2 linked regions of the Drosophila melanogaster genome follow. Each later gene encodes a partner of the first gene's protein in a complex. Each region holds a gene or a part of one and is shown on either strand. Other genes may lie near its edges. The genes, in order: Cyfip and Hem.

Region 1 (11,922 bases):
CTGGTCAAGTCCGGGGACCTAAGCGTAGTGTGCGTAGGATCCGTGTGGTCCAGCTGGGATCTGCTGCAGGAGGCCTTCATCAGTGAACTCGCTAAGACAACCATCGACTTCGACCTCAAGCTGGTGCGCATCACCAAGAGCAGTGCCTACGGAGCCTGCTACCTGGGTGCGGATAGTGCGGACTTCGATCTTCCGAGAAACTATGCCGACAACGTCACAGTACTGTACACGTACACCGATCCTCGAAAGAAAGCCAAAGCCACCAACGGCTGTAACTGTTAGATAAATTGTGTTTGACAACCCATTCCGCAATACACTTCCCAATTGCCAAATTCGCAATCAATATTCCAGTTAGTGGTACGGATAGGTAGTATTATAGCTTATCAAAAAATAAATAATTTTATCCTTTGACGAAATCCGCTGGAAAGTAAAGAAGTTTCCCTTTCAATCTTGCATCAAACTCACCTACATATACTTTCTAAACTTTTTTTGTTGGGTTTGTTAGAAATACGTATGAAAATTTTATTCGATAATGTTCATTGTATTAATTGTATGTGTCTCAATTGTTGGCTGTCGTGGCTTCTTTTCATGTATGTGGGCATACATGTGCGGCATCTTCTTTGTAATACTTTGATTGTGTTTAAAGCCAATTTGTTTTTATTTTCGCAGTGCTGTCAATTCAATTCTTTGGCTAATTTGATTCTCGAATCGGGAAGCAGAACATAAATGTATCTGTTTGTAGCGAAGGAATACATAGGCCAAAAACATAATATCTTAGGGAGCTTAGAATAGAGTATTTGGGATAATGTACGAGTAGCTGAATCGAATGCCGTAGCAAGTGAATCAAAATTACATCTACATGTATATATATATAATTGCTTGGATAAAACATTTAACGTACTGTAAGATTGAATGCGACATACCAAAAGAGATTTTCAATAAAATCGAATTCAAATAGAACCAAGACCGCCACTTTGACTAAAAAAACTGTCAAAGTTTCGGCAGCATAGCCAAGAAAACTTGGCTTTTCGGCTTCTACGTCGCTGTTTTCCTGGGGACTAATTCATCTGCGATTAAGTGTAACCTATTTGTATGCGATTAGCTTAAATGCATCCCTTTCCGGGCGACTTCAATTGTTTATGCTCTGCCGCAGCTTCTGGGGATCCTGGTAGTGCGACGAGGACGATATGACCGAGGGATGCTGAGGCGGTGGAAAACACCGCACGTGCTCCACATTTGAGCCCTCGCCATCGCCGCCCTTTAGATACTTGTTGAGAATGGAGAAGATTTGTGAGTTTAATACTTGGAACCGACGAATCCGATCCACCATTCGCTTCAATTGCTGTTAAGGAATATTCAAATTGTACTTTGGGCACTTTGGTAGTTATGTTAGAACTTACAATGCCCTTTACGTCCTCATCCTTGCCATCGACGCGCTGTACCCGCAGAATGTGGTAGCAAAAGTCCAGAGCCTCGAAGCGACGCTGCTGTCCCAGCAGTACGATCATGACGCAGCCAGCCCAGTTCAGACCTTCGCCGAAGAGCTCCTCGATGGTGTACTCCGTTCCCCTGACTGGAATGCAATAAACGAACTGCAGAGCCGACCAAAGGCGATGGAACTCCGAGCACTCATCCACGTGGATAATCCCGTTGGCCGGTGGAGGACCACACCACACAGGGTCGTCCAAATAGCTCTTCACGCGGTTGAGAATAACTTCAAAAATGCTGAGGCCACAGCAAAGACGCTCACGAGTCAGCAAATCTCCCTCTCGTGCTATCATTGCTTGCTGTTGGTAAAGATTATTATTATAAAGTTAATCAATTAAGTTTGGGGGCTCACCTTTGCAGTGCCAATCTTTTCCACGTTTGAAACTATCTGCAGATTGGCAAACTGTGCTTCAAGACGCTTTTGCTTAGCCTCCGGTTTTTCATTCTCTGAAATGGGTAGAGATGTAAGTAAGAAAAACTACCCATGAAAGCATCCACTTGTACATACCTTTGCAAAAAGGTCTGGGAAAGATGTTCTGGAAGAGGGCGGCGTGCAGTAGATCGCACACCTCCTCCTGCGAGAGCGCCTGTTCGATCAGCAGGCAAAAGATAATGCTGTTGCCAAACTCCCGGAAAGACTGAAATAGCTCTGTCTTCGCGTCCGGATATTGCACGATGTCTGTAAGATGAGCCTGATAGTAGCTGAGCACTCCAGGCGAACCATATTCGCAACGGGGTAGTTTGCATGACTTGGGCATGGCAATCATCAGCGTCTTGGTGAACTGCAGCAGCGAGCCCTGGATCAGTGGCTTAACAATGTCCTTCAGTATAATGTCCATGACGACTGCTATGCCCTGATAGCCCAGCAGGCGGCACATGGCATGGAAATGCGGTGAACCTACAAAGCCAGTGTACTGGCCATACTGTGTGGAATAGGCAGCATTCAGCTGCTTGGAACCCCACAGATAGTAATGGGACATTTGTGGCGGCTTCTCACGCTGAATAGCCTGTGACGACGAAAGATTCACTTTGGTTCGAATGAAACTGCAAGAGATAATAGTAATAATAAGTATTTTAAACAATAGAAAATTGGCGGCACACCCACCGATTCGTGGCTGCATTATAGCAGTAATTGACCAGAAAGTCGTAGTTCAATTCCACAAAGACGTGCAGTGTTATTCTGCCGTAAGGCGCCAGTACATTGTGGTTAGCCTCCTTTACCATGCCGTCAAAGTTATCCAGGGCCAAGTACTTGCTTAGCAACTTGTGGCAAATTCGATTCGCCTCTAGCAGGCCTTCGAGTTCCTGAAATTAAGCGAATTAGAGACCGATTCTAGACATCTGTAGGATTCCACTTACCACAATGCCGGTTATATCGTTGCCCTCGAAACGACTGATGGCCAACTCAATGCTCTTGTGCATGTTGGCGTTTATGCGTTGTGTGATCAGTTTGTTCAAGTCAATAGAACGGCCTTAAACGAATGGAGAAACCATTAACCAAAAGATCATGATGCAATGGGTGTTTTGCTTACCCAAAAGTTGGACATGTCGTTGTTTTAACAAGGTCTCATAACGATTATTGCGGGGATACGACTGGAAGTTGAAACCGAGTACCTCGCACTCCAAACGGAATCGCTTGTCCAAGAAGATGCTGCCCGCCAATTGCTTGTAATGGGCAAAGATCTGCTCGCTCAGCTTGTAGACAAACTGATCGAAGCACAGATTGACTTCGGCCTCCACTTCGTCGTACAGGAACTGCTTTCGGAAGACAGTGAGTGCGTAGTACGCCGAGTCGTTGTACAAGTCCAGGGGATACAAGACAAATCTGTGTGAGGCACTTAGTTAGTTCAGATCATTTCACCTATTCGCCATTTACTTACTCCATCATTGAGGGCTCCTTCGTTTGCAGAATGTGATCGGTTAGGATCCAGGGCATGGACATTTCAATCGGAAACTGAATGCGCTTCTCCATGGTGATCAGATCCTTGCACTCCTCGTTGTGCTGATGCCGCACCAAGCACTTGTTAACCTTACGACCCATGGTCATCTCCAAGTAGAACTCGCGATACCACAGCTGCGAGAGATCGCAGCACTTCTGAAGCGTGTCGCTGAAGTTGAGCAAGTAGCTCCAGTAGAACGATGTCTTGTGGAACGTGTCGATCTGCAGCAAACAGTTTCCGTCGATGTCCTTGCGCAAAGTGCGCTTGCCGCCGCTTTTGTCGGCAATCAGAGACTCCAGCATGGTGCGCACCATGTATAGCTGAGTGGAGGAAGGTCCCACATTGAGGCGAGGCACCTGGATGCGGAAGCCGCCGTCGGGATCCTTCTTGCCCTTGGCCACTGGATCGTCGGTGGGCTCATAGCCCTTTTGCCAGTCCGCCGATGTCTCTCGCACCGACATGATGATGCTCCGGATAAGATCCTTCTTATTTTTTACGGCCTTTCGCAGCGGTTCACGAAGCGAAAGCTGCACGAAGTCCTGCAGCTCGGAATAGATGTTACGCCGGATAGCCTCGCACAATACGGTTTCAATGCGCGCCATTAGCACCTGCAGTCCCTTTATCATGGCGATGACCTCGATCAGCGCGAACTTCTCTTCCGAGGTGTAATTGTAGCGGGTGGCCCGCTCGTACTCCTCAGCCTCCACGGGGCACTCCTTGTTCTGGTGATGATCAGTCGGATGCAGGAGCTTCCAGGAGTACAACTCGGTGACCACACTGGTCCACTCGGACAGCAATTGAAGGCCGCGCAGAGCCAGGTCGGCCGTAATCCGGTTCTCGGCATCAGAGGGATTCTCCTTGACGGTGGTGGTCACCTCGTTTGTGTATCGCGCCAGCTCCGAAATGTACTTGACGTGATCCTCGCGTATCTGCGGCAAATGCACCATTAGATCCGCCTGTGGGCTGATGGCGTTTGAGCTGGACAGCGGCCACTTGCTGGAATCGAAGTGCTTGCTGCGCTTTATGTAGTTGAAGGGAGCAATCTGCATGTCGCCGAAGAGGGGCACCACTTCCAGGTTCTTAAAGATGCGATCGATGCGATCCAGCCGTATCTTCTTCTTTTGATCAAGTTTGTTGATATTGCACGCATCGCTGTCCATAAGGAACAGGCCAAAGCCCATAACTTTTACCAGCATGTGCTTCTCCTCAGGGGTCAAGTACATCTTTGTCTCGAACATATGCACGCAAATGTTGACCACATCTGAGAGCAGATCCTCGTAGCCCACGATCTTCTCCAGCGTGTCCTTGACCGTGTCGCGAATCTTGTTCTGCGTGGCCAGGAACATGGACAGATTCTGCGACTCCTGCAAGGTGTGCGAGTCCGACATCACTTTGAGGAACTGCGCAGCTCGCCTGTAGGTGGAGTAATCGTTCTTCACGCTGGACTTCATGTTCTTCAGCTCGTCCAGCACGGCAAACATGTTGATAAACTTGCCTAGCGTCAATAGGTACGCCTCGGACACGAAGTCCTTGCGCTTCTCGGCGTGGCACAAGCGCTTCACCTCGCCGGAGAAGGCCTCGATGGCCTTGCGTTGGAAGTACATGAAGTTGAGCAGCTTGTTCACCTCCGGGGCTAGCACCTCGACCGTCTTCTCGTAGATCTCCACGCGATTCGGCTGCTCATTGGACTTGGGCTGCGGAATGGCGCGCGAGCAGCAGCGCCAGGTGTAGAGCATTACTGCGTGTTTCTGCCCCTCGTCCAGGAGCACATTCTGCGGGCGGAGAGAAGGGGTTCAGAGCTGTGAGTAATGCTAATGCGATAAGCCGGATACGCTAACTCACCAAGTTGGCATGGGTGGTGGCCTCCTCGATGTACTTGGCGATACCCGTGACAAATCCATTGCGATCCTCGAAATTCGTATCGAAGTTTGCCTTGTAGATAATCGAGCAGGGCTGCGCCTCGATGCAGGGCTGCTCGTCCGGCAGGGATAGCTCGTCCAACACCTCCACGTTGGACAGCGCGTCGGCTAGCGTAATCTTCTCCGTCATGCTGGGCTGCTTATCATGCTCCAGCAGCGCGAAATGGTTAAATTCTAACAAGGCGGGGCCCCAATCCAATCGACACAAATTTTTTTCGCCACAAATACAACACGACTTTTACCATTCGCCTGGGTGCGTGGACACGTGGCCATAATTAGCACATTTTTGCTGGCGGTTGGCGTCTACGATGTGCTTATGCTTATATGGCTGCGCACCGCTAATTTCGATAAGAGAAAGATAATCGATAAATACGGCGCATTGGCGGCACATCACATCACTAGCGTCTGTGGTTCCGTTTCGTTTTAGCGAACTCAATTTCTCCTATTTTATATTGCATTTTCCGTTAAGAGTAGCCTACAATTCTGCAAGATGTCGATGTTTTGGGGTAAGTCGAACTGATCTCACTTGCCCCCTCCGGGCTGGTTGTGCCAACGAGCTCTTGGGTGCTCCGACCGCGCTTTTATTGCCACCACGTGCTTGCCGCTCGATTTACCGGCAGCGTGGAGCGGCGCCATTTGCACGCCGATGTAAAGTAAACCATGTTTTTGACCAACTGTGTCCTCTTCCAGGTTTGAACATGAAGCCTGAGCGCAAGTACTCGCAGACGATCATCAAGTCGTTCCACATCTCGGGCGTGGCACTCGACAAGGGCCAGGAGGCCAAGTTGTACCTCGCTGCCGAGAAGCAGGAGTACATCGTGGCCACCGTGACCAAGGCCATTCCACAGGTTGCGCTCGACCTGAACTTCAGCAAGGGCGATCGCATCATGTTCTACACCGCCGGTAAGACCTTTTATGTCCACTATGTTCGCATGTTTATCCGTTTCTGACGCTTTCGTTCGTTTCACAGGCGACGCCAGCGTTTCTCTGTTGGGCTACTTGCACGACATTGATTCCGAAGATGATGAGGATGACGATCAAATGACGATCGAGAATTTGCTGAACTCCAAGGCGATCAAGAATAGCAAAAAGTCTGAAGATGATGAGGATGAGAATGAGAGCGGCGAGGAGGACGAGGAGGATACTGATGACGATAGCCAGATAATCGAGGAATACGAGTCCTTCCTCGAAAATGGTGAGGAGGAAGATGACGACGATGTTGATGAGGATAACGAGGAGAGTGGCGAGGAGGATGAACAGGACAGCGACGACTCCGAAGCTGAAGAGGAACAGCCAAAGGCCAAGGTTGCCAAGCTCTCTCCTGGCGCTAGCGCCAAGAAATCTGGCAAGGAGCAGAACGGTGTGGCCAAGAAGGAGGAGGCCAAGCAGCAGCAAAAGAAGAAGGAGAAGCCAGAGGCCAAGAAGGAACAACCCAAGGCCAAGGAGCCAGCCAAGCAGCAACCAGCTTCTAAGGATCCACGTACTATCACCGGAGGCGTGAAGATTGTGGATCAGGTCGTCGGCAAAGGCGAAGAAGCCAAGCAGGGCAAACGCGTATCTGTTTACTACATCGGCCGCCTGCAGTCGAACAACAAGACCTTCGACAGCCTCCTGAAGGGAAAACCATTTAAGTTCGCCCTGGGCGGCGGAGAGGTCATCAAGGGCTGGGACGTGGGAGTCGCCGGCATGAAGGTGGGCGGCAAGCGAGTCATTACCTGCCCCCCGCACATGGCGTACGGCGCACGGGGAGCTCCACCGAAGATCGGACCGAACTCCACTCTCGTCTTCGAAGTGGAACTGAAAGCTGTGCATTAGTGCACTATATTAACATCATATAGACTTGTAATCCTAAGTAAGTATCCACGTCGTACAACTTGATAAAAATGTTAAATAAACTCTGTTTTCCGGCTGTTCATAAATCAACAGTTTTGTAACAATCGCATGTATTTGGTATGGGGTCTCTAAGGGGTTTTTTCGGGTGAACATACATCCAGCAGGGGCTCAGACTGGAGTTTCCAGTGCTCGAGTACGTAAGGCAGCCGTTCGCTGGGATCTGTGCTCCAGTGGTGCAGACGACACTTGAGTCGCGCCTGTTCCAGCTTGTTTATGGTCACAGTGCAGTAGAAGTCCTTGTTCTCCTTCTTCAGGTCGGGTCCCTCGATGCGCTCCTTGGGCAGGGTAATGCACTCCTCGCGACAATAGAACCCAGTCTTGCGCAGCGAGGCCTTGATGTGCCAGGGCTCGAGCACCCATGGCTCATCCTTGTTCATGACCACCGCCAGCACAATGGTCTCCAGCATGTTGACCGTGCGCTGGGCGTAGGGGGAGCTGTGTTTAACAGTCGATTTTTCAGCCTCTGTCTTGGCGTACTTGGCCACATTCTCCGGCGTATTGTACGCGGCCAAACCCGGCAGCAGGAGCTTATTGTAGACAAAGTGCGGCTTCATTGACACCACGTCGCCCTTGTCGCCAACGCCCTCGACGAAGGTCTTTAGCACCACCTCGATGTTGGGCCGCTTTTTGACCAGCGTGTCGTCCACGAGCTCGTAGATGAAGTTCTTGGCCCTCATCCGGCGGGGTTTCTCGTTGGTTTTGTGCAGCGGCGGGTCATATTTGCGCTTCAGGACGAACGTGGTCTGGAAGCAAATTGGTGGTGAATGGGGATCGCTTCCCTAATCCAGGAGAGCACTTACCCGCACTTGCTGCTGCAGGCTGGTGGCCGATTTAAGCAAATTTAACGGCGTTACGTAGATGTTCTTCAACATTTTTACCACCAATATGTCTGCGTTGCCAGACTACTCAGCCAGTTTGCAGTGTTGCCAGATATGATTATTTAATCTGCGTGAGTTCAGCAGTAAAATTTTCAGTGACTTTGAAAACGATTATGAATTTAGTTTTTTTATTGCAACTATTTCTTTACATTTTAATAAAGCAAAATAATTTGCCCAATTTACCTTTTAATTGATTAAAAAAAATGTACCTTTGAAAGTATTATGACTGTCAATTTTAATTTAATAGTTTCATTACAAAATAAAAGATTGACTATGCCAATATTTCGGCGAACGCGCCCATCGACATGCAGTATGCGTACACGCTGTGAAGCAGTTTTTAAACGGAAACCGTTAGTCGAATTTATTTACAATATGACATTTTACAATCAGGACTCAATAGTGTTTTGTATCCAATCAACGTACTTGCCCACCAGCGTGTAAACTCCTGGCCATCCGGCCAGACCGCACGGAGTCGGTCCAAATGACACGACGCCGGCCAGGAAGTAGTAGGTGTTCACCTTGTTGGTGTCCAAGCCGATGAGCGGTCCCCCGGAGTCACCGCGACAGGAGTCGACGCCTTCCTTGCCGCCGGCACACATCTGTGTGTCCTCGAGGAGAATGTCCTGGCTGCTGTAGACGTTCTGGCACTCATCCATCCGGAATCCCTCCACGGCTGCCTTCAGCTTGAGGTTGCTGGCCGACAGCTGCTCCGTTTTGCCCCAGCCGGCCACGTCCATGGTGATGCCGTCGAAGGTGGCCGACCGCAGATTGACGTCCAGAGGCAGGCAAATGGGTCGCACAAAGTCGGTGTACTCCACCTGCTGGGCCAGACGCAGCAGGGCTATGTCGTTGACCTGGTTCTTGGAGGCCGGTATATAGTCGGGATGGGGTATAGTACGCTCCACGGGCACGTCCAGATGCGGTGGCGCGCAGTCCTTCATGCCGCGCACATCTACTTCGCAATCGGGATTAGTGTTGGTGTCCCATTCGCCCAAACGAACACCGGACAACCGCCAGTCGGTGGGCAGTGCCTTTCCGTTGACACAATGCGAGGCTGTGATCACATATCTTGTGCTGATCAAGGATCCGCCGCAATGGTGACCCTTTTTGCCCTGGCCTGCATGTAGGAATTAACCAGTGGATAAGTGCGTTCAGACTTAAGACGATGCCCCTCTACTTACTTTTGGTGTATTCAATTAGAGCCATCCAGGGGAACTCGTCGATCTTGGTCTTCATTCCGCCATAGATGCGATTGGACAGGATGTTGCCGCATTGTCCTGGCAGCGGCAGAAGGCTGTTGCTGGTTACATTGGGCTTGGGCGGTGGCGTCGTCTCCGATGAGCTCTCCCTGTAGCGGTCCGGACAGCAGATGAGCACCTTGCCGTTCGTATAGCCGCACTGGCTGCGACTCAGGTAAAGCCGGTCCGTGTCCCGGAGCGGGGTGGTGGTCAGCAGGCCGTATAGGTACTTGCAGTCCTCCAGATGGATGCACAGCGCACGCTCCCGATTCGGCGTTATGCAGCGCCCATAGTTGGGCACCTGGGCCGCCTCGTTGGGGAAGTAGAACTCTGGAAATCCAGACTTTAGGTTCAGAGAGCTTACCAATATTGTGAATACATAAATTAGGTCATTAGCTATGGAAGTACGGAAACAGGTTTCCAGCGACTTGTGAAGGCCCGCGGCAAAAAAAAACAAATACGTTAAGCTAGTCATGTCCAGCAGATGAGCATCTTGGCAGTCTTCTATTTACTTACGGCCCGCCGATGATTTCGCCAAAATGCCCAAAAAGAGGCAGATAATCGATGGCTTTAGCATTTTCGTTGCGCAATCGGACCTCGTTAGTCCTTTCTCAAGACGTCGTCAGTGGTTTGCGGATAATGTTTTGCCTAAAAACAATATTACAGACCGACCGCAGAAGCAGTTATCAAAATAAACGGCGCGATAATATGGACGATACCAGGTGCCACAGCGGAGCGGAGTGAAACGAAGAGGCCGAAGCTGAGCTTGGCGCACAACTGAATCTTCGGACGGACGCGGTTCTCGGCCTGCGAGCTTTGTCGCAAGCTTTTTGGCGAGTCTCCAAATCAGATATGAAGATAATCGTGGGAGCAGATCTTTATCTCTCTTCCAATTATTATTCTTAGTAATTGTCAGTTGGCTTATTTAACTTTGGTACTAATAGAATTTACTTTGTCACATGCTGAGTGTAAGTAAAGTACTCGGCAAATTTAAGGGAGTATCTACCATTATTTAATCCCCGCCTAAGTTCGATTGTATCACATGGTGTTTTGATAGCAAAAAGCACTATCATTAACGATAAGCTAACGGTATATTTCGTTCTACAGCAAACTGAAAGTTCTACCGACTTTAAATCGGACCTAAAGCAAAGTTTAAAGTCGCAGTTTAAATTGCAGCGGTCGCGTTGCCAAACAACACAGTATGACCGAATTCGCAATGTTGTTTGCCACTGTTTTGGCAACTCGCATATAGCGGTACGTCGCAGCTGGTGATAAGTTAAATGTTTAATTTAAAAAATGAGCGTGGATATTTAGTAAAGGTCGAATAGGCGGCAAGTTTGGAGATCGGCAGTGGTGTAAGTAGTACGTCGCTTGAGTGCCGAGTGAGTGCTGTATGTGCAGCAATAATGCGAATGCAAGTCTCATGTGTCTGGTCCGATATTTGCAGCTCATAATTTATTCAAAATGCGCTTTGTGCGGCGGGGAACTGTCCCCAAGATTGCAGCATGTTGCTGTGTGGTGGTCCTGCTGGTCACCTGGTATGTGTTGAACGTGGAGCGGGATCTGGATAAGAGCCTCAAAATGTAAGTATGTCTAGTTGTGCGTCACAGCGGCTTGGGATATTGATTGTACGATGTTTGTCCATACATATGTATATGTACATATGCGCATATTTGTGATAAAGAGTATTTATCTTTTGCAACTAATTCAATTTTGTATTTAATTAAAGCGAAATCATCGAGCGCTCCATAAGATCGGCTGTGAATCGTGGCGAGTGCCGGCATCCCCATCTGCCGCTGGACAATCCGGACATCATGAAGTTCTACAAGCCGGTTGAGCGAATAAACTGCGGCGAGGGCATGGACTGGGTCATGTGTGAGGTTGGTTGGGACTGGGCCCCTTCTACAAGAGCTGATTGCTTAACTTAAACCTCGTTTCCCCCAAAGAAATCCATTTGCTTTGTGCGACCAGAGATTGCGTCCAGCCACGAGGATGTGATCTGCTCCTACACGGACATTATTCGCAAGTCGGACTACAAGGTTCGCTTTGGGCAGTCACTGCGCATGAAGGAGCCCTATGTGCTGCAGGCCAGCGACTTTGTCAAGGTGGTCTGTCGATCCTCCAGCGGCGAGAGGTGACCATTATCTTATTTTATAGTTATGCCTATACTTTAAAGAATGATCTTCATGTACTTAGTTGGTTTGGCATGGCCCACGGAATACGGGATACGGTGCCCCGTCCACCGGCCTCCAATTTCTCCCCGAACTTGGCCGTCCTACCACCCGAGGCGGTTGCGCAGGCCCAGCAGCAGATGCAGGATGGGGCCACAGCTCCCATCTACAATGTCCTCATGTTTGGCTTCGATTCGCTGAGTCGCAATGCCTTCATTCGCAAGCTGCCCAGGACCTACGAGTATCTCACCCAACAGTTGGGCGCCACCGTTCTCAAAGGCTATAACATTGTGGGCGATGGTACGCCACAGGCGCTGGTGCCCCTACTGACGGGTTTCACGGAACTGGAGCTGCCGGAGACAAGGAAGCGGTTGTCCGGGGCAGGCAGCGTGGAT
Region 2 (10,644 bases), on another chromosome or scaffold:
GGAGGGATAATTTTCCGAATTGAGGGCGTGACAGTTTTTTGTGGTTTGTAGGCATTAGAGTGGGCAAAATGTTTTGGCATATCAATAGAAATTGCAAGGCAGAAGGACATGGCCAGATAAACTCTTCTAGTAATCCTGACCGAGAATATATACCTTTTAAGGTCGGAAACACGACCCCGCACATGGTTTTCAAAAGTAATAAGTCCGTTTTCGGCTTTCTATGAATTCTCAGTACCATCACTTTACTGAGGACATTCAGACTCGCCAGTATCGATCAATCGAGGTTCTTTTGGGAGCGCCGTACAATTATACCGCCGACATCTGGAGCACAGCCTGTTTGGCCTTCGAGCTGGCCACCGGCGACTACCTGTTCGACCCTCACGCCGGAGAGTCTTACAGTCGGGACGAGGACCACTTGGCGCATATTGTGGAGCTGCTGGGCTCCATACCGCAGTCGGTGATCTTCCGCGGTAAGCACGGGCTGAAGTACTTCACCAGCTATGGTAGGTATCAAATCGAATTTAGCTCAAGGAATGGTGTGTGATGTGTGACCCCTGTTGATTCCCATTTGCAGGTAGCCTGAGGAACATCACCAAGCTGAAGCCCTGGAGTCTAATGAACGTGCTGGTGGAGAAGTACGACTGGGACCCGGTGGAGGCCAAGAAGTTCTCCGACTTTCTGCTGCCCATGCTTGAGTACAATCCGGTTATACGGGCGTCGGCAGCGGAGTGCCTGCAGCATCCGTGGTTGGAGCAGGAGGAGTTCGTCTAAGAGGCTCATGGAGTGACTAGACAGCCAGAGAGACACAGGCATAGGCACAGTAAAATATTGCATACATAACATACGTATTTCGTACTCGTATTGTATTTCTAGGCTTAACTTTTATATGCAAACAATTTGCCATAAAGAGGAGGTAGCAGGAAAATGGGATGAGGAGCTAGCATTAAAGGACTCGATCGAAGCACACACATTTTACACTTACGAAATGCGGACGATGTGGGGGCGTTCCGCGTCGAATTTTTTAAGCTTTTTAATTTTTGTACTTGAGAGCTTTAAAATGTAATTACTAAAGAAGCGATTTTACTTTTAACGACAAAAGCAAACGAGAGAAGTAGCGCAAATGTTTTTCAAGTTTTATTTCGACGACGTGCATATAAGTATATACATACATATACACATATATTTTTTATTAACTGAGAAACAAAAACAAAAGACAATGACGACAATTTTTAGTCAACAGATGCCTAAACTGACTGACTGAAAAGGAATACATTTTCATGCGAAACCAAGTAAAACCAAATCAGTGAGAAATGCTAAATAGATTGTACGAACTAGCAAAATATTCAGCATCACATAAATAACAATACCTTCTATAATATTAATAAGCAAGTATGTGTATAATTAACGAAACCCCATTGTAGATATCGAGAATGTTCACAAATACAGATGTAAACTCAAATATTGACAGCTTTTTAGCAGAGTGTAGTGATTTTGGTACATTTAACCGAACCCATTTGTAGATGTTTAGGCCTATGTTGATTACGAGCAGATTTGAAAAGATGCCCTACTTACCCGATTTCGGTTTGCAAAACTTATCATTTAACCATCCGTGAAAAAGAACCTATCCCAGATCATGTAATTCAAAAAGAATTAAAAACAATAATAAATCATTGCATAAAAGTCTTTGTATCGGAATTGAAAACTCAAAATCGAAATTTAAATACTACCAATGATAACTACTGAGAAATCATATTACAAAATAACGAAAACATATTTTACTACTTGCCTACAAGTATTTGTACACAAGCCTACAAAGTAACATTGAACGTGACCAAATAATTTAATATTGCGGAAGATTTTTCCCCCAAACTCATATTTAATATACACACACGTGTGCGCATGTGTCCAAATGAAATTTAACAGAAATTGAAGCGGAGGAGCTGCACGTTCGCGGGAGTGGACACATATTTCAATAAGCCGAAATAAAGAATATACATACCGATCCGATCTAGAGACAGCTTATTAATGTGGGATACTTATTTGGGTTGTATAAGCACTTTATTCGAAGTCGTACGAGTATAAAAATGCAGAGTCTAGAATACATTTGGGTATGTTTAACAGTTTTAAAGTATGTTAGATTAGCATAGTGATCGATAGTCGATCGGCGGATAAACTACATAAGCATTATGTGGAATACACAGATCGGCTCCATTTAGAGTGCCAGCCCTAAGATCTGTTCCTGCTTGTATACGCCATGGTACGCGTTGCGTATAAGCACGTAGGGAAAGCAGGACTCAAGCAGATCCATTGTGAGGAAGGGCGATTGTTTGACGATTTCGTCCAGCAGCAAATAGATGGACTCTCGGTTCCGTGTCGCCTCTTTGTCGGACTCCTGGCCCAAGCGCAGTAGGGAAGAACTGGCCAGAGCAAGGAACTCTTTCATGCGGTCCTCCATGTCACTTTGACCGCAGATGGTAAACAGGGCTCCGAAGATGTTATTAATGGCCGCCGCCATGCAGTGCGTGTTATTTGAGTGGCCATCAATTGTGGCTCTGTAGAAGGAATTTTCGTTACGGGCCAGTTTTGGTATAGACACTGCCACAAAGACCATCAGTAGACAGGCAGTGAGGTGCTCACCCTCATCGAATTCTGGCTTTTTTGATTTCAGTGTAGTTGCTAATGTGGGGTCTACCTTGCATAGCAGACCCGCTGCTGAGGCCATCTCGGAAGCAACCCTAATTTGGTCGCCTCCGGGCAAATGTTCCTGAAAGTCCTTCACTGAGCTAAGCAGGAAGGGTATGCGCTTGTCCAGCACATCAACGAGGGCTTCATGCACCAGGTTGCGGAAACATATGATCACACCAATGATCGTCATGCGTTGCAGCACGCGGTCCACGTCCTGTAAGCGCTTAAATTGCTCCTTCATCACTTCAGGTTTGTCAAAACTGGTTCGCAGTGTAATGAGCACTTCCTTGTTGGTGCTCACCAGCGACTTCAACTCTTGCACCTGGTTTGCTATGTGCCACATAAGTGTTTCGTTCAATGTTTTGATACCGTAAGGTCCCACAAGTTCTGCAAGTGCTCGCAGCTCGTTGAGATCAGAGAATTCCTGCGGGTTAAATGGTACCCAGCCCTCGGGCGAAATGGGAACAAAAGCCTTTTGGTTAATGGAGAACACAATGTTGCCAGCGGAGACACGCCTTAGCAGAACCTCACTGTACCAGGTGTTGTACAAAGCGGCAATGGTTTTCTCGCCATGAGAGTCTAAAGCCTGTGTTTGCTGCAACAGGCAGTTGTTGAAAACTCGTGTTATGTCTATGTGCACGTAGTTCTCTACTGTCTGCAGCACGTTCATGTAGGCTCGAACGCTGGCCAGCAGCTCCGAGGGCTTGGCTATCTCCATTGTCTCCTGGTTGAACATCACCATGCCAACAAGATCCCGGGAAAAGCGGTGTTCCAGGTTCTGACAGAGATACTCGCGAGGGGCAAAAGCAAACTCCCAAACGTTGACCGTGGGGCAATAATTGATTGCAAAACAAAGCTCCGTCAGGGCCATGTGCAACTTGTCCATCGTCGTCAGATCCTCTCGTGTCTTTCGGTACGACTCGTCTCCCGGCTTTCGTATGTCGTCAAAATGCTTAGACTTCGATTTGTCCTTCTTCTTACGAGCAGATTGTACGGAAAGAATCTTAGCACAGTGTTTTGGCAATAGAGCGTCTGCCATTGTGCACTGCTCATCGCAAATTGTGGTTATAATGTTTTTAGCCTCCTTAGCCATTTCCTCAAGAAATATATTTACCACGCTGAGAGACCTTTCACGTATATGGTGTCGCTCCTCCGGGCACATTTCGTGCGTACAATTTTGGAAGTGGCTGCAGATTAAGGGAAACGCTATGATGTAGCGGTTCTGCGCGGGAAACTCCAAGCACATGTGGAATTGGTCGTCAAACATTTTGTTATAGAAACAGAAGATACTGAGATCCGAGGTTTCTACTAGTATTTCGTCCAAGTTATCTACCACCCTAGTGTGGAAAACCATTGAATCCAGTAGGCGGGCCAGCTCTGCATGCTCTGCGATCCTAAGTGCAGCCTTTCCCACACTCATGTACGTTTGGAGGCGGAACCAGTCCAGGCGGAATGGTCGGAAATAAAAGAGTTCGTTGTCTTCCACCTGCTTAACTGTCAGGGCTGCAGCCGTGTTGTAGAGCGAACTGAAGATTATGCTTTCGTCTTCTGGACACATTTGCAGACTTTGCATTCGAATATTAAGATCCGTGGCATCGAATCCGGACAAGTATTGCACGTAATATCGCTGCATTACCTGGCTGTATTTACGCACAAGAGCGCGGAGTTCCTCCATGTGGAATAAGAGCTCCGGCAGCTGTCGGTCTACAAGATCTTCATTGCTCTTTCCTATAAATTTAAAATAGTTAAGGTTCACAAATTTTAATTTAATCGTAAGAAAATCCTTAACTAACCTTTATTTTTGAGAAGAGGTGGGTTGTCATTATGCCTGAGGAGCCATAGAATCTCATCGCGCGCAAGACAAAGACCGATGAAAATGAATATTGCCTTAGGTCCCAGGAGGCCTGGTTGGTCGGTCATAATAAGAGCTAGCTCCTTCAAGGCTGTTCGAAGAAACTTGCGCCGCTCCCGATGCATTAAAGCAGCTTTTTGAACCGCCGTGTTGTAGGCTTCCTTTACTTCTCCGATCCGCTTGCTGTAACCTTTAATTCCGTCGAAAGTAGCCTGAATGTATTGATGAATTTGCAGGACCTCGTCGCGGAACAAGGCCACAACCCAGCTTGACTCCAGGGCGGAGAGCCAGATTTTGTTGACTTCCGGGTACTGTCCGAGCATTTGATGGTTCAGCAGCAAGCCAAAGATTATCCAGCGGTCCATTGCCTCCAGGGATATGTACTCGCAGGACATGGTGTCAGTGCGGACGGCCTTAAGAAGAATGGCCGGATTGCCTACCAGACTCAACTTTTGCATTTCCCTCCACTTGTCTGCTGGCAGGTTTCGCAGTGCATAGATGGAGGTCAGCGACCGCAACGCACTGGTTAGCAGGCGCTGGTGGGGAATGAATTCCTCGGCCAACTTTTTTAAGGGGACCTCGTAGTCCAGAATCATCTGCCCCAAGCGGGGGAAGCCCGTGTCCGCCTGATTGTTTTGCAGCTCGTAGGCGGCATTGTACAAGCCCAGAACTGCCTTGCGGTCCTCGACCCTAGACAAAACAATCATCAAGGACACGTAGGTCACAACCAAGTCCAGATAATATTTGGTCAGCTCGAAGTTCAATGTGATGTCCAGGTGAATCTGGCAGGCGTCCATCGTGGTGAGCAGTTCGCATACATTGTCCTTGAAATCAAGTAGGTCCACGAATGTGTGGTAATACAGGGACAGCGACTTAATAATCTCCGCTTTGATGTTTACAATAGCATTGAGCCCTTTGACGTCGATGTTGGGGAACCGCTTCACGATAAACTTGATGCTCGATTCCAACGACTTCTCGGAGAGGAAGCCTGGCTTCGACTTGGTGTCGCCGCATGCTTTCTTGATGTTGTATATCCGCGTAAGAATGCCCAGGCCGCGGTCATTCAAGATGATTAGTTTCTCAGCTATCTTCTGCTGGTTCGGAAAAATTGGGCGTGCCATATCCGATGACTGTTGGCGACGTCGAATGGCTGAAGGCGAGTTTCCGGTGGAGCCCAGAACACAGGTGTGCGCTGGCGAGACGTATTGGGAGGCGTGCAAGTGCTGATTTGCCCAGTACTTATACTTTTTCGTTTGTTAAATTGGCCGAAAAGGAGCGACACAAAAGTGTACACATTACTCTTCCTCTTGTTTTCGCGTTAGTGATGACCAATGGGCTGATAGCAAAGATATATTGCTATCGATAACGATAGCTACCATATATATGCTAAACTATTGATTGTTAAAAAGAAAATATACTGCTGAGAAAAAAAACATATGGCTTAATATAATTTAAGATAATTTTTTTATAATTATATATTACAGTAATTTGGTTATACTACAAATTAATAATAGCTGGTATTTGGGGTTTTAATTTATTAGAATTATTTGTCTAAGTCAGGAATAATTGCTTTCAAAACTATTGCATAGTTTATTCATTCAATTGCCAATGGCTTTCTTACTTAGTAACTTACAGTTCAGTTTTTTATTCTTATGGCTAACAAATTTATTAAAGTTGTTAATAGTAAATAAGCCTTTCTTTTTTTTTCAGTGCTGTCGTCAGCTGATTATCAAGGATGCCGCTCATCGGAACCTACTATCGATATCGCGAACCCATGAGCTAGAGAGCGATTAATGAACCACTAGTTCCGTACCTCGGGCACGTTGTGTGCCACGCAAAAACGCCGCAAGTCAGTTGAATTTCTGATATAAAAGGTGGGCGAATAAGCTCTGTTACTTGATAAATAATACAACAGTGAACTTTGACAGCCATGGGAAAAAAACTAGAGCGGAACGACGTGTGTCGGGTGCCAGAGAACATTAATTTCCCGGCCGAGGAGGAGAACGTACTGCAGAAATGGCGACACGAAAATATCTTTGAAAAGTGCAGCCAGCTGTCGAAGGGAAAGCCCAAGTAAGTGCCGCATACGATTGCATCAGCCGATCGCCAAATTTTGTGCTAATTTTCCACCTCCAAGATACACGTTCTACGATGGACCGCCCTTTGCAACCGGGCTGCCCCACTACGGACACATTCTTGCTGGCACCATCAAGGACATCGTCACACGGTACGCATACCAGCAGGGATACCATGTGGACCGTCGCTTCGGCTGGGATTGCCACGGACTGCCCGTGGAGTTCGAGATTGACAAGCTGCTGAATATCAAGGGTCCTGAGGACGTGGCCAAGATGGGAATCGCAGCCTACAATGCCGAGTGCCGGAAGATTGTCATGCGTTACGCAGATGAGTGGGAGAATGTGGTGACGCGCGTGGGTCGCTGGATTGACTTCAAGAACGATTACAAGACGTTGTACCCATGGTACATGGAGTCCATTTGGTGGATCTTCAAGCAACTGTTCGACAAGGGTCTGGTCTACCAGGGCGTTAAGGTGATGCCCTATTCCACCGCCTGCACAACGTCCCTTTCGAACTTCGAGGCCAACCAAAACTACAAGGAGGTTGTGGACCCTTGCGTAGTAGTTGCACTGGAGGCCGTTTCGTTGCCCAATACCTTCTTCCTAGTGTGGACCACCACGCCATGGACACTGCCCTCAAACTTCGCATGCTGTGTTCATCCGACGATGACCTATGTAAAAGTGCGCGACGTAAAGAGCGACCGACTTTTTGTTCTCGCAGAGTCTCGTCTCTCTTACGTGTACAAATCGGAGACGGAGTACGAAGTGAAGGAAAAGTTTGTTGGCAAAACCCTTAAGGACCTTCACTACAAGCCGCTTTTCCCTTACTTTGCGAAGCGAGGAGCTGAGGTGAAAGCTTATCGTGTCCTGGTCGACGAGTACGTGACTGAGGATTCCGGTACGGGTATTGTGCACAATGCTCCCTACTTCGGAGAAGACGATTATCGTGTGTGCCTCGCTGCGGGCCTCATCACAAAGTCCAGTGAGGTTCTCTGCCCAGTGGACGAGGCAGGACGGTTTACTAACGAGGCAAGCGATTTCGAGGGCCAATACGTCAAAGATTCTGATAAGCAAATAATGGCCGCGCTGAAGGCACGAGGAAACTTGGTTTCCAGTGGCCAGGTGAAGCATAGCTACCCATTCTGCTGGCGGTCAGACACGCCTCTTATCTATAAGGCGGTTCCTTCCTGGTTTGTGCGCGTCGAGCACATGTCTAAAAACCTGCTTGATTGCAGTTCCCAAACGTACTGGGTGCCGGACTTCGTCAAGGAGAAACGTTTTGGAAACTGGCTGAAAGAGGCCAGAGATTGGGCTGTAAGTTTTGTAAAGGAAACTTTTTTGTTATGTTTTTAAATCAAATTATATATCTAGATCTCCCGCAATCGCTACTGGGGCACGCCGATTCCTATCTGGAGGTCGCCTAGCGGTGATGAGACCGTCGTTATCGGCAGTATCAAGCAGTTAGCCGAGCTTTCCGGCGTTCAAGTCGAGGATCTTCATAGAGAAAGTATCGACCACATTGAAATACCATCGGCAGTTCCTGGAAATCCACCACTGCGTCGCATAGCTCCTGTTTTTGACTGTTGGTTTGAATCAGGTTCAATGCCGTTCGCACAACAGCATTTCCCTTTTGAAAACGAAAAGGACTTTATGAACAATTTCCCGGCTGACTTTATAGCAGAGGGTATCGATCAGACCCGAGGCTGGTTTTACACACTCCTTGTGATTTCGACGGCGCTATTTAATAAGGCACCATTTAAAAACCTCATTGCAAGTGGACTGGTCTTAGCTGCTGATGGTCAAAAAATGTCGAAGCGCAAGAAGAACTATCCCGATCCAATGGAGGTGGTCCATAAGTATGGAGCGGATGCTCTCCGACTGTACCTTATCAATTCGCCCGTCGTAAGGGCCGAGAGTCTGCGTTTTAAGGAAGAAGGTGTGCGCGACATAATCAAAGATGTGTTCCTACCGTGGTACAATGCATACCGATTCTTACTACAAAATATCGTTCGATATGAGAAGGAGGATTTGGCAGGAAATGGACAATATACTTATGATCGTGAACGCCACTTAAAGAATATGGACAAGGCCTCCGTTATAGATGTGTGGATTTTGTCTTTTAAGGAATCCTTACTCGAGTTCTTTGCCACTGAGATGAAAATGTATCGCCTGTACACTGTCGTACCCCGGCTGACAAAGTTCATTGATCAACTTACCAATTGGTATGTTCTATAAAATTTAATGATTTAAGCATGAGTTAGTTAACGCGTGAACAATTCTCTTACAGGTATGTTCGACTAAATCGACGTCGCATCAAGGGTGAATTGGGAGCTGATCAGTGCATTCAATCACTTGACACGCTTTACGATGTTCTATACACAATGGTTAAAATGATGGCTCCTTTCACGCCTTACCTTACGGAGTACATATTCCAGCGGCTGGTATTGTTCCAGCCAGCCGGAACCCTAGAGCATGCTGACTCAGTTCACTACCAGATGATGCCGGTCAGTCAGAAAAAATTTATTCGAAACGATATTGAGCGCTCGGTGGCTTTGATGCAATCAGTTGTCGAGCTGGGTCGTGTAATGCGGGATCGAAGAACCTTGCCTGTTAAGTATCCTGTTTCGGAGATCATAGCAATTCACAAGGACTCGCAAATCCTGGAGGCAATCAAGACCTTGCAGGACTTCATTCTTAGCGAACTCAATGTTCGAAAACTTACGCTAAGCTCTGATAAGGAGAAATATGGTGTAACATTGAGAGCAGAGCCTGACCACAAGGTTTGTTTATTATGAATTTCTTACCTATAAAGATAACAAAATGGATTACTTAATTTTACAGGCGCTAGGTCAGCGGCTTAAGGGCAATTTCAAAGCGGTTATGGCTGCTATCAAGGCTCTCAGGGATGATGAAATTCAGAAGCAAGTTTCGCAGGGTTACTTTGACATTCTGGATCAAAGAATTGAACTTGATGAAGTTCGCATCATTTACTGCACATCTGAGCAGGTTGGAGGAAACTTTGAGGCTCACAGCGATAATGAGGTTTTGGTACTGTTGGACATGACGCCTAACGAAGAATTGCTTGAAGAGGGCTTGGCTCGTGAGGTCATAAATAGAGTCCAGAAACTAAAAAAGAAGGCTCAACTTATACCGACCGATCCCGTTCTTATCTTCCATGAGCTAGCTGCCGATAACAAAGCTAAGCAGGAGGTCCTGGAGGCTCAGGCTCAGCTAGCCAAAGTTTTGTCCAACTATGCCAGCATAATCAAGACGGCCATTAAGTCGGAGTTTGCTCCCTATTCATCTGAGCAGGCGTCCAAGAAGCGTTTAATAGCTAGTGAGCTTGTCGATCTTAAAGGAGTTCCCTTAAAGTTGACTATTTGTTCGACTGAGGAATTACAGCTTCCTAATTTGCCTTGGTTAAATATATCCTTGGCAGAAGATCTGGTGCCACGATTTGGAAATAGCAGCAAAGCGTCTCTATTTCTGCAGCACAACGTTAGCAAGGAAATTATTTCACTGCCTACACTTCGCTCTGAGTTGGAGCACTTGTTTGGATTGTATGGAGTTAACTTTAATATTTACGTTGTTGATCACCAAAAAAGGACTACTGCACTAAAGTCTATCGATGAAAACCTAAGCGGAAAATTGCTTGTTCTAACTCGAAGCCAAGATGCACCGAAACTATCAGCAGGCTATGAACTATCCCCCGCTCCTTACTCCAAATTCATCAACCAGCATTCAGGAAAATCTATCTTCACGGAAAACCCCTTGGGACGCGCCTTATGTTAAGCTTACGGAGCTATTGGTATTTAATTGAAAACGAATCGAAACTGAAATAAATGTTGTCAACTTTTCAAAAAAGTTTTAAACCTTATGCAGCTTTGTTGATTTTGATTTTTTCCCGGGCTTTAGTATTTCTTTAATATGGTAGAATTACAAATTTAAAAGTATAGTAATGCATATTAGGTTCTAATATAGAGTTACAGTTATTCATGGGTTTGACTAGTTCAAAGCATTAAAATACTCTTC

The links.
Region 2: Cyfip (region 1) and Hem share a complex: the UniProt entries of both Drosophila melanogaster proteins name them as parts of the WAVE complex.

The regions. Positions count from the first base shown.
Region 1 is NT_033777.3:15,326,944-15,338,865, reverse strand, and holds Cyfip (cytoplasmic FMR1 interacting protein), read right to left. Parts: upstream 5,601-11,922; 5' UTR 5,478-5,600; coding exon 5,271-5,477; intron 5,201-5,270; coding exon 3,369-5,200; intron 3,314-3,368; coding exon 3,021-3,313; intron 2,961-3,020; coding exon 2,848-2,960; intron 2,794-2,847; coding exon 2,594-2,793; intron 2,533-2,593; coding exon 1,997-2,532; intron 1,936-1,996; coding exon 1,841-1,935; intron 1,788-1,840; coding exon 1,401-1,787; intron 1,343-1,400; coding exon 1,130-1,342; 3' UTR 501-1,129; downstream 1-500. Other genes in the region: Nagk (N-acetylglucosamine kinase), read left to right, coding at 1-282; Fkbp39 (FK506-binding protein 39kD), read left to right, coding at 5,838-5,853, 6,038-6,250, 6,318-7,162; mRpL9 (mitochondrial ribosomal protein L9), read right to left, coding at 7,309-7,983, 8,041-8,112; ea (easter), read right to left, coding at 8,505-9,235, 9,300-9,686, 9,873-9,933; CG6236 (uncharacterized protein), read left to right, coding at 10,821-10,939, 11,086-11,236, 11,303-11,490, 11,553-11,922. UniProt on the Drosophila melanogaster protein: Plays a role in guidance and morphology of central and peripheral axons and in synaptic morphology. Also required for formation of cell membrane protrusions and for bristle development.
Region 2 is NT_037436.4:22,282,330-22,292,973, forward strand, and holds Hem (HEM-protein), read right to left. Parts: upstream 5,867-10,644; 5' UTR 5,659-5,866; coding exon 4,479-5,658; intron 4,414-4,478; coding exon 2,213-4,413; 3' UTR 2,025-2,212; downstream 1-2,024. Other genes in the region: Srpk79D (Serine-arginine protein kinase at 79D), read left to right, coding at 233-503, 575-771; IleRS (Isoleucyl-tRNA synthetase), read left to right, coding at 6,468-6,610, 6,675-7,926, 7,984-8,834, 8,900-9,392, 9,454-10,404. UniProt on the Drosophila melanogaster protein: Plays a role during growth of the oocyte.